3 linked regions of the Nothobranchius furzeri genome follow. The main gene of each other region encodes a partner of the protein of the gene in region 3 in a complex. Links are inferred from orthologs where the notes say so. Each region holds a gene or a part of one and is shown on either strand. Other genes may lie near its edges. The genes, in order: immt, micos13 and MICOS complex subunit MIC26.

The links.
Region 1: MICOS complex subunit MIC26 (region 3) and immt share a complex: the UniProt entries of both Homo sapiens proteins name them as parts of the mitochondrial contact site and cristae organizing system (MICOS) complex. The link is inferred for Nothobranchius furzeri from reciprocal best matches to the Homo sapiens genes APOO and IMMT.
Region 2: MICOS complex subunit MIC26 (region 3) and micos13 share a complex: the UniProt entries of both Homo sapiens proteins name them as parts of the mitochondrial contact site and cristae organizing system (MICOS) complex. The link is inferred for Nothobranchius furzeri from reciprocal best matches to the Homo sapiens genes APOO and MICOS13.

Annotation. Positions count from the first base shown.
Region 1 is NC_091741.1:108,913,490-108,917,141, forward strand, and holds part of immt (MICOS complex subunit MIC60), read left to right. Parts: intron 1-1,149; coding exon 1,150-1,236; intron 1,237-1,782; coding exon 1,783-1,926; intron 1,927-2,071; coding exon 2,072-2,205; intron 2,206-3,652. UniProt on the Homo sapiens protein: Component of the MICOS complex, a large protein complex of the mitochondrial inner membrane that plays crucial roles in the maintenance of crista junctions, inner membrane architecture, and formation of contact sites to the outer membrane.
Region 2 is NC_091748.1:50,418,218-50,421,558, forward strand, and holds micos13 (MICOS complex subunit MIC13), read right to left. Parts: upstream 2,154-3,341; 5' UTR 2,023-2,153; coding exon 1,994-2,022; intron 1,621-1,993; coding exon 1,464-1,620; intron 1,288-1,463; coding exon 1,230-1,287; intron 1,029-1,229; coding exon 931-1,028; 3' UTR 611-930; downstream 1-610. Other genes in the region: hsd11b1la (hydroxysteroid 11-beta-dehydrogenase 1-like protein), read left to right, coding at 2,438-2,591. UniProt on the Homo sapiens protein: Component of the MICOS complex, a large protein complex of the mitochondrial inner membrane that plays crucial roles in the maintenance of crista junctions, inner membrane architecture, and formation of contact sites to the outer membrane.
Region 3 is NC_091751.1:40,247,653-40,250,994, forward strand, and holds MICOS complex subunit MIC26, read right to left. Parts: upstream 1,857-3,342; 5' UTR 1,659-1,856; coding exon 1,044-1,658; 3' UTR 643-1,043; downstream 1-642. Other genes in the region: eif3f (eukaryotic translation initiation factor 3 subunit F), read left to right, coding at 1-45, 186-299, 428-505; dnaaf6 (dynein axonemal assembly factor 6), read left to right, coding at 2,053-2,142, 2,259-2,322, 2,405-2,507, 2,706-2,802, 2,897-2,982. UniProt on the Homo sapiens protein: Component of the MICOS complex, a large protein complex of the mitochondrial inner membrane that plays crucial roles in the maintenance of crista junctions, inner membrane architecture, and formation of contact sites to the outer membrane.

The sequences.
Region 1 (3,652 bases), on a different chromosome or scaffold from region 3:
GCAGAACCAGCTGAGTCAAGTACAGAGCAGCATAAAGACGGAGTGACTTAAAAACAAGAAGTAAAATTTTAAACTGGATGCAGTAACGCACCGGGAGCCAGTGCAGCTGGGCCAGAACAGGATTAATGTGCTCCCTCCTTCTGGTGTCCGTCAAAAGGCGGGCCGCCGCATTCTGCACCAGCTGTAGGCGCGCAACCGAGGAAGATGTAGATCCATAAAGAAGGGAATTTGCATAATCAAAGCCAGAGATCACAAATGTATGGATCACTGTGTGCCGGTCATGTCTAGTCAGGATGGATTTCATCTTTGGTAGCCGGCGAAACTGGAAAAAGCAGGATCTAACCACCTGGCTAACCTCACTTGATCTGCTACTCGCTAGCGTTAGCTAATCTACCCGTAGTTCCACTTTTAATCCTAGATTTTGGACCGTTTCTGCCTTTGTGTCTTTTCTGGTTTCTGTTTTCCTCCACAGCACCTGTTAGCACGTTGTGCACCAGTAAAAGGCATCTTCTTTACACGATAGCAAGCAACGTACCTTTGTTCAATAAAGTTCTGGGGGGGGGGGGGGGGGGGAGTAGCTTGAAAAGATGTCGCACGAGTGCTACGTGTAAAAATAGTTTAATGCACACAGATTTTTTTTTTCATCGCACCTGCGACATATATGTCCCCCTCGCTCTGATCTGCCTCGGCCTGCTCTGCTGCTGCATACAGATGATCGTTGCCAGCGCATTTGCAGCCGCGGTGTCCATTACTGAACAGAAGCAGCCGGAGCAGTCTTGCTTTTGGGACTCTCGGACTCTGATTTTGTATCGTGCTTTGCTGTGTCTGCCAGCACTGTGTGTGTGTGTGTGTGTGTGTCTGATTCTATCTGCCAATTGGACGCTCCCCCTAATGGCACGCGTGATTTTGAGCTGGCCAATCAACCGGCGGTGGGTTTGTCAGCCTTGTTCGGTTCCAGGCAGACCGCCTTGGGAAGAGGGGTTGTGTGCAGGAATGAGAACAGCCCTAACCCGGTCCAGGCGGGGTGGAGCTGATGCTAGTGTGTAAGGGCCATTAGTGTCTCATCAGGGACTGGGTGGGTCTGTCTTTACATAACTCAGTAAGCGCACACACCAACCCGCTGTGCCTGTAATGTGTGTGTTCATGCAGAAGCGTCAGCAGAGGCGACTCAGATCATCTCGGCCATCAGTGAGGTCCCATCAGTTCCTGCTACGTGTGACTCAGAGGCAGCTGCAGGTACGTTCTCCTCCCCTCTGGAAGCTCTGACCTGGTGCTGGCCTGTAGGCCTTGGGTTGGACCTACTGGTGTCTGAATAAAGTCCAGCCTCCTCCAGGCCCAGGGTTCTACCTAGCAGGGCATAAAGCCTAATCTGGTCTCCACCAGGTTCTAAATGGTTCCATCCCAGTGTAGAAAACCACCTTCAGAGTCACCGGGTGGTCACGTGATGTCCAGGTCGTCTGTGCACAGGAGACCGTGGTTATGGAGACAGGGTGTGCTTCAGCCATGCAGACGTTTGGGTCACATGATGGAGGTGATGGTGGCTCAGGGGTTAGGAGTTTGTCCTGTAACCAGTGGGTTGTCGGTTTGAACCCAGGCTCTGTCCAGGTCATTGTTTGTGGTTTTAGCAGACACGTTCGTCCAAAGCGACTTACAGCTGTGGCTACAGTGTAGATCACCACCATCAGTGTGAGTGTCTGTTTAAAAAACATGAACTAGGTTCATATGATGCTGCTTCGTGTGTGTGTGTGTGTGTGTGTGTGTGTGTGTGTGTGTGTCCTACAGACGAGTGTAAGGAGTGTCACAAACACGCTGATGTTTCAGAGACGGCAGCAGTCGCGTCAGCAGAGCCTCTAAAGGAACGTCCAGTTGATGAGGTCACTGCTAGACTGGTCCAGCAAGACCAGGAGGAAGAGAAGCTTCTGGCCTGTGAGCGGATAACCACACACACACACACACACGCACACACACACATTAATGAAGCTTCCCTGGTTTAGAAGCGTGGTAGTCTGCAGCATCGGGGGTTTATGCTTGAAGCTTTAAGAGGTTTCTGAGCCTGCTGTTGTTTTTGCAGCCCTTTCATCTCGTCTGGAGGACTCTCTAGCCTCCTCTGCTAAGGCCACGCTGCAGGCTATTGGAGCTCAGGAGGTGGCTCTGCAGGCTGTCACCCAGCACACACGCAAGCTGAAGGACGCCATGGAGGCAGAGGTGGGTCAACCTGAGGATACCTGTGGTTCTAGGTGTGTGTGTGTGTGTGTGTGTGTGCGCGCGCACGTATGTGTGTGTGCGCGCGCTCGCAGGATGACAAGTCGGGCTAGAGCAGAGGTGTCCTGTTGTCTTTAAGACAAAAGACAAAATGGTAAAGTTAACCGTGCCCAAGGGCAAAGAAAAATGTGTCTTCCTTCTATTGAAATGATGAAGAGGCAGCAGCTGTCGATCATCAGGAGGTGGACTCCAAACAGAACATGTACGATAACTCCTGAAGTGAGATTTACAAACGGAACAGGACGTTCCATCTGTGACGCCGGGCTCTTCCGCTGGTTGCTCTTCCTGTCCGCGGAGGACGGAGCGGTATGTGCAGCCAGGCGAGTGATGTTCGGAGGAGCTGTCTGATGGGTGAGTTTAGGCTGGGGTCCTCAACTAAACCTGAGTTTTCTCCAGCAGACACCGTGAGGGCAAGACGCTCTTCTAAAATACACTTTAAGTATTATTGTTTGTTGTAATTTATTAATATTTAAAACGGCTTTGTTTCTGGACCAGCTCTGCACCCTTACGGGGTCCAGGAGGGTGCGTGGGAGCTCGCCCGACTAATCTACGAGTTTTGCTGTTAGGTCTGTGTGACCGGTGTCGGAGCTTGCCGGCAGTAAGTCGGGCTCGTTTCCAGTGAGAGTTGGACTCTGTCAGGGCTGCCTTTTGTCACCGATTCTGTTCATAACTGTTATAGATGGGACTTCTAGGTGCAGCCAAGGTGTTGAGGCGATCCGTTTTGGTGGCCTGAGGATCGGGTTTCTGCTTTTGGCAGACGTGGTCCTGTTGGCTTCATCAGAACGTGATCTCCAGCTTTTGCTGAGCGGTTCTTAACTGAGTGTGAAGCAGCTGGGATGACAATCAGCTCCTCTAAATTCGAGACCATGGTCTTGAATCGGAAAAGGGTAGAATGACAGCAGCAGCTCAGGAAGTACAGCGGGTTGTCCAGTAATGGGAAGGTTGCGGGTTCAATCCCGGCTCCGACCAGAGAATGCTGCTGTTGTGTCCTCCTTGGGCAAGACACTTAACCCGCCTTGCCTACTGGTGGTGGTCGGAGGGGTTGGTGGCGCTAGTGCTCGGCAGTCTCGCCTCTGTCAGAGCGCCCCAGGGCAGCTGTGGCTACATTGTAGCTCACCCCCACCAGTGTGTGAATGTGTGTGTGACTGATTGTGTTGTGAAGCGCCTTGGGGGGTTGCAGAAACCTAAGTAGGTGCTATACAAATACAGACAATTTACCATTCTCCGGGTCGGGGATGAGGTCCAGCCCCAAGTGGAGGAGTTTAAGTATCTCAAGTTCACGAATGAGGGCAAACTGGATCAGGAGATCGATAGGTGGGTAGGTGCTGCATCTGCGGTGATGTGGGCATTGTACCGCTCTGTCATGGTGAAGAGAGAGCTGAGTCAGAAG
Region 2 (3,341 bases), on a different chromosome or scaffold from region 3:
GAAACAAAGACAGTGCTGCAATACATTCAGATTATATTTAATCTGTAAAAATTTGTTTAAATCCCAATAATGTTGCTTGTGACTATTTTCATTTAGAAAAATTTCTCCCTAAAATCTGAGTCTCTTGTGAACAAATCATTAAGACACCTATAATTAAGAACTAAATGTATTTTCACAATCTGATGAGCTAACAAATTTGTAGTAAGTTGTCTTACAAAAAGCTCTTTTTCCAGTTGATGCTAAATGTGTGTTGACCTCACAATCTTTTAATTTATTGCATCTTTGAGAAAACATTTTGTTTATGTTATTTTATCACCTTAACAGTGCCTGAAGGTTTTGAAAATGTTTGATGTGCTAGAAACAATTCTGTACATGCATTCAAAACAAAGGTTAACACTGAGCGTCATTGCTAGTTGTGCTTTTGTCAAAAATACTTCATGCTTCCATTTTCGCTCCTTGTTCCAAAATTGTAGCAGACTGACTGCCCATGTCATAATATTCTGTTGTAATAAACATTTTTGCACATTAGTTTGGTTCTTCACTTTGAACACAGCTATAATCAGCACACTGTAAATTAAGTTTAACTAAATAAACCAAACAAGCCTGAGAATGTTTTCAGAATGATTTTATTGCAAATAGTGAGATTGCACGCATACATACATACACACACACAGCAGAAATTAACTTTTTTTTACATTATTTTGGACAGTTTGACATCTGGGTGGTATCCAACTCTACTGGACAACTGAAATAAACCAAAGTTCTGCTTTATGTACAGTATCCTTCCAACAACTCTCAACAAAACAGCCGAGATCTCTTTTGCAGCTGAATTTAAATAAGCTGTTTTGTTCAGGAAAGGGGACGACTTAAGGATTTACAAGTGCAAAAGTCAAGTGAATAGATAAATGAGGTTACTCAGAAAGTTCTTGTTCATTTGATGAGGTCTTTTGCGTACTGCACTCCCTGACTTGCGTATTCAGATGCTTTAGTTGGAGCCTCTGAGAGGCTTGAAATTGTCCACCGCACCCCTGTGATAGAAGAAATAACTGTTGTTAAAGAATACTTGATTCCAAATGAAATGATCACTGAAACTGGATAATATTCTAAGGTTTTTGTTGGTAAATTCACTTTATTAAAGAAAAAGTCCTGCTGTACCTGAGCCATTGCAATATTGCAATTAACCCTCTGAGGGACTAATAAAGGTATTCTTATTCTTACTAGGTTCTTACCAGAATTCCATGCTTCAACAGGGGAAATTTCAATTTTAGGTATGGCTGGAACCTGAGCCTAGGAACAGAGGAAAGAAGAAAAAAATGATGTACACAATTAAACATAAGGCTTAATTTCACATATGATGCATCGCCCACAAAGTCTTGTGCAGAGGCTGTAGCTGGAATTCAGTTTCTACAGTTTAAACATGTCAAAATGTGTGTGATCGCCTAAAAGTGTAATTTCATCTCTACCTCCAGACCAAAATACTTCATCCATTCCTCGATGGCGGGTGGTATAGCAGCTCTGGCCTTCTCCAGAGCCTCTGAGCCCTGTTCGCTGGTTCCCAGCAGACCCGAGTCACAGGCGACGTAAACAGCGCCTCCTGCAATGGTCACCTTGGTGGCCAGTCTGCAAATGAAAGATCAGCCACACCGTAAGCCAAAACCACCCAGCCACGTAACATTTACCACACTCAAAAGCACCACCTTAAAATTAAAACATTGCTTATTAAGTAATAAAGCAGGGAGATCTTAAATTCTGCGTTGATCAAGCAATATCAGCAACTCAACAAAACATTCATGAAAAATCGCATATGAAGCAATATTTGATTGGATCCTCGGCGACAATTTAGTTAGTAAAGTATCGGAAAATAACAGCTTGAAATCTCAATACAGTAAACGGATAAATGCCGTAGCATGCTAGCTCACAAGCTAATCAAGCATTCAGGTCACTTACCACTAAAACTTAAACGAAACTTAACAGTGAATTAAAATATACGAACTTGAGTAAAGGCAAAATCCTTGCCGCCATGGTCCACAGCTGTGTAACTTCTCTTTATAAGCTGTTTTTACCAAGACTCCAAACAGCGAATCTAACTTCACCGCTAGGCTGCACCATCGACATAGGGCTGCACTGAAGGACATTGCAGCGTTAGCTCTGTTTTTGTCAATAAAGTTGTTTTTTGAAACCCCAACGCTTTTTTCTCAGCGGCAGATTCGTTCTTTTCTATCCCACTTTATTCCTTTTGTAAAATTGTATGTAAGCAAAATGAAAATAAAAATGGTGTGCAGGTTAAATATAAATGTTCTTTTTAAGTTACTATAAGAAATGTTACATATTTAAATATGTTATAATTTGATCTCGGGAGAAGCGCAAAATAGAGAGAGTGAGTGAGTGAGTGAGAGAGAGAGGGGGGATGTTACATAAATGGCACCTCCTTCACATCATGAAAGTGAAGGCAGACTTTTATAACACAGCTAGGAAGTTTTCTGAGACTTATAGCGAGTTTACACACATGGGACCATTTGCAAAAATCCTGATAGGGAGCATTTCTGTAGCTTATTTTGCTGTCAAATGGACTGCGCCAAGTTTTGATCCAGGTAAATTTAAGAATAATTGTAAAAACGTCATTTGGTGTGGATTTTAAAACCAGTAATGTTTGGTGTGGGTTTTTTTTTGGGGGGGGGGGGGGGGGGGCATTTTTTAACCAACTTCAGAGTGCAGTAATGTCTTTTTTAATGCATGTTATGTGTTCACAAGAACTGTAAACATTTTCTACATAGGTAATTAGTTTCTCCTAATGTTAACCTAAAGTGAGGTTACAGAAACTAGGAATATTTAACACAATATAAGGATTAAAATATCTTGTTTGGAACTTTTTTGGACAATTACGGTTTAATTCTGTTTGGACAAGCAAATATGTTCTTGTCTGACCATCTGGAGGGATACATTAAACATCTAAATGTATTTCTCCTATTACCTAACCTATTGTATATCCAAATGAATATATTATTTAGACTACAAAATCTAGTCTTGAACCCTCCCACAGTGCACAGGGTACATTAAGCCCCAGGAAGACTGGTGGATGGGATTCAAATACATCCATACATCAATTTTCAACCGCTTATCCGTGGTCGGATCGCGGGGGAACCAGCCTAAGCCGAGAGGCCCAGACTTCCCTCTTCCCAGCTACTTGGGCCAGCTGCTCCAGGGGAATCCCAAGGTGTTCCTTGGCCAGCCAAGAGACATAGTCCTTCCAATGTGTCCTGGGTATTCCCTTTAGATCTCCTCCCAGTTGGACGTGACTGGAAAATCTCACCAGGGAGGCATCCAGGAGGCATTCTGACCAG
Region 3 (3,342 bases):
CAGGACATGCTGACCACTGTTCTCGCATACATCGAGGACGTACTGGTGAGTGAACTTTAAAAATAAACTATTATTTACACCTTTATACTAATTAATTTAGTGTTTTAAGTCATTGTAGAAAACGTTTAGTTGGTGTTGATTAAAACGCTGATCATGGCTGTAAGATTAAGGTTGGTTTGTCTCAGTCAGGAAAAGTGACAGCAGATAACAGCGTGGGCCGCTTCCTCATGGACCTGGTCAACAAGGTGCCGACCATCTCAGCTGAGGACTTTGAGAACATGCTTAATTCCAACATCAACGTAAGAGATCCTCAACTGTACTGACTTCAGTTAGACCTTGCATTTGCCTTACCTCTATTGTCCCTTTGCATTACTGTAAATATGTTGCTTATTCTGGTGTAATCATGTAAATACTGTCATTGCTGCAGGACCTGCTGATGGTGACCTACCTGTCCAACCTGACCCAAGCACAGATTGCCCTAAACGAGAAGCTGGTGCTGCTCTGAGGACATTTCTGTAGATCATATTTAATTTTTTTTTTTAATTTTGGCCGAGAGAAATAAAGATGTTACCAGTCATTTATTTGTTTTCATTGGCACTGCCTTAGGTGAGTTTGTGACAACAAAACATGCAAAATGGGAACTAGTATTCAAAAGAATGATCATTTATTCATTTAAAACATGTTGCTTGTTTTACAGCTCATGGTTTTGGGATTTCCAAGATGTAGTTTAACTTATCAAAAACAATCATAAGTCAGGTTCCTATTACAGAACCAGAACAGCTTTCGTTTTCTTTGGTCTCTACTCAAACTTCACAAAGCAAACCAGAAAAATGTGTTAAAACCTGATTTTTAATCAAAGCCCCACAGATTCATTTTTTACTTAAATATACAATCAGAGGTTAATTATTCAAGTAGCAGGTCCAGTATGTGACAGGGCATGGCCGGCCTGAGTAACAGCAAAGTGCAGAGAGGGACTCTAACCCTAGCCCTAAAGCCAGTCCTGTCACCACCAGGCTGGTATTGCTGAGCAGCTGAACATAAGCCTACGGGTTGCGTTTAGATTTGTCCCCGTTTGCATCCTTGCTTTGAGGGTTTTTCAGGATCTTCTCTAGCGCAGCGTAGCTCCGCACCGCGCTGTCGTAGACGGAGTCTCCGGTTGACTTTGCGATGGCTGCCGCCTGCTCTGGGTAGTAAAGGGAGGCGCTTACGGCCATGAAACCCGCCGGGTAGAGGAGCTTCTTCACCCTGGAGCCTCTGGCCAGAAACAAGCCGAGCATTCCGGCAAAGCCGATGATTCCCGCCCGAGGATAGAAGTCCTTCGGAGGTTTCTGCAGACAAGCGTAGGCGTCACTCCCGAACTGGACGACCTTCTGAACTTTGGGTTTAATTTTGTCGAAGGTGCCCGAACACCAAGCCGAGTATGGCTCTGCTAGCTTCCTGAAGGTGGCGACACGCTCCTCCAGCTGCCCGGCTTCGGGCTCCGCATACCGACGGTTCTGCTGAGGAGCCGCGTACAGAGACAGTTCGTCCAGGCTCAACGGCGCCGTTGTCTCCTTTTCTCCGCCACCGGCAGCCCCAGCAGCAAAAACGGTGAAAGGTGGCAGTTGAGGCGCTCCCGGCATGGCTCTCTGTCTGTCACCTTGAACAAGGCCATGCATTCACTACGGCAACTGCGGAGGGGCATTACACGTGACGCCTTCTTGAGAAATTTGACGAACCGCGAAACTTTCAAATGTAACATCAGGTATATACATAAAATGAAATTATTCAATTGGGAAAATTATAGCCAACATTAAATAGCATTTTTACGCAGCTGTAGTCACAATAGCAAATACAGGATATAGAAATCCCCATCTCCCCGTTTCTTGAAGTGTCTGGTGGTTGCCAGGGCAACCGGATAGCCTCGTCGCCAGAAACCGTCAACACTGACCTCTCAAACGTCCGTTTAGCCGGTTATAAGCTGAAGTTCTAAACTAAGTTTGTTATATAAGCATTTGCATTTGTAGATGTTGTGGTTTGAGGTGTTTTTTTGAAAGGATTTAAGCTTTCCCAATGGCGTATCTTGGAGGATCATCTGCGCAGGACCTACTGGCTCTGTCTGCACTGTTATCCAAACAGGAGGAGGAAGATGAAAACTATAAAGTAAAAGTTTAAAATTCACAACCGTTTTGTAGTAATTCATACCGACTGTACTAACTGCCTGCATAATTCTTATATTTAGATTTGAGCTAAAATACTAGAAATTATATTTTCACCAGAATGCGGATGCCTGTGCACAGCTTGGCCCTGGACACATCGGACCTCCGCCAAAAACAGATGAAGGTGAGTTGTTTACTTGTAGTTCTCTACATTTATTCTGAATTATAGCAGTACACAAACTATTTCAGCCTGTTTTGCTGTTTAGCTTCAAGTTCCAACATGAAGAACTGCAAAGCAATCTGGAGTGAAGAAGAGGTGGCTGAGGGGGCCCATTATGATGATGTGGTAGATCCACGGCCTCAACCAGAGTAAGACAATAGTAATAGTTGGATAGGGAGGGTGGGTGAAGCATTTTTCTAACACACAATGGCAGAGTGGCTGGGATAAAGCTGGGGTTGAACCTGGTCTACCTCCTGGACCACCGAATTTAAAGAAGGCAGGCCCTTTCTTCATTTGATGGGACATTTTGAGAACAAGAAAGGCAGTTTTGTTATGTCTGTGTGCAGATATGAAATTATCCTGAAGCAGAATGTGGGAACCGAGGACCTGTTCTTAGGATTAAGCAGGAAGAATCCATCGTCCATGTGCTGTGAGGCAATGCAGGTATGTCATCAAACTTCTATTTGACAGAAGAAATCAAAATGCACAAAGGCTATGACATTCAGTTTCTTCATAAATACTTTTCTCCCACATTCAGGTGAAAATCAAACTACCAGACACTAAAGCAACAGATGTCTTTTTAGATCTTAAAGAAACGTTTCTTGATCTGCGAACACCAAAATAGTAAGAGATCATTTGAAAATGTTCACTTTCATTTTCCGGTGACTGAGCAGCTGCAGTTCAGTCTTGAAGCTCCCCTGTCTAGGTATTTGATTAAAGGTGTGAAACACTGAAATTTTTTTAATCTTATTTCTGATTATAACTCTAAGATTTTCATGCAGGCTGAACATAAAAATAGTCTCCTACACCAATCTCCTGCTTTAGCTTCTGATAGAAAACAGTTGAAATGACTAGAAAATCCTGACAGCTCTACGTCACACGGTCACTTATCATTGACGCACTCGCATATCTTGTCTTATGACGGGGAAGGCTGTTGTTGGTTCAACACCCAGGAAACAGCAGAGAACGTCTTGGCTAGTAGAA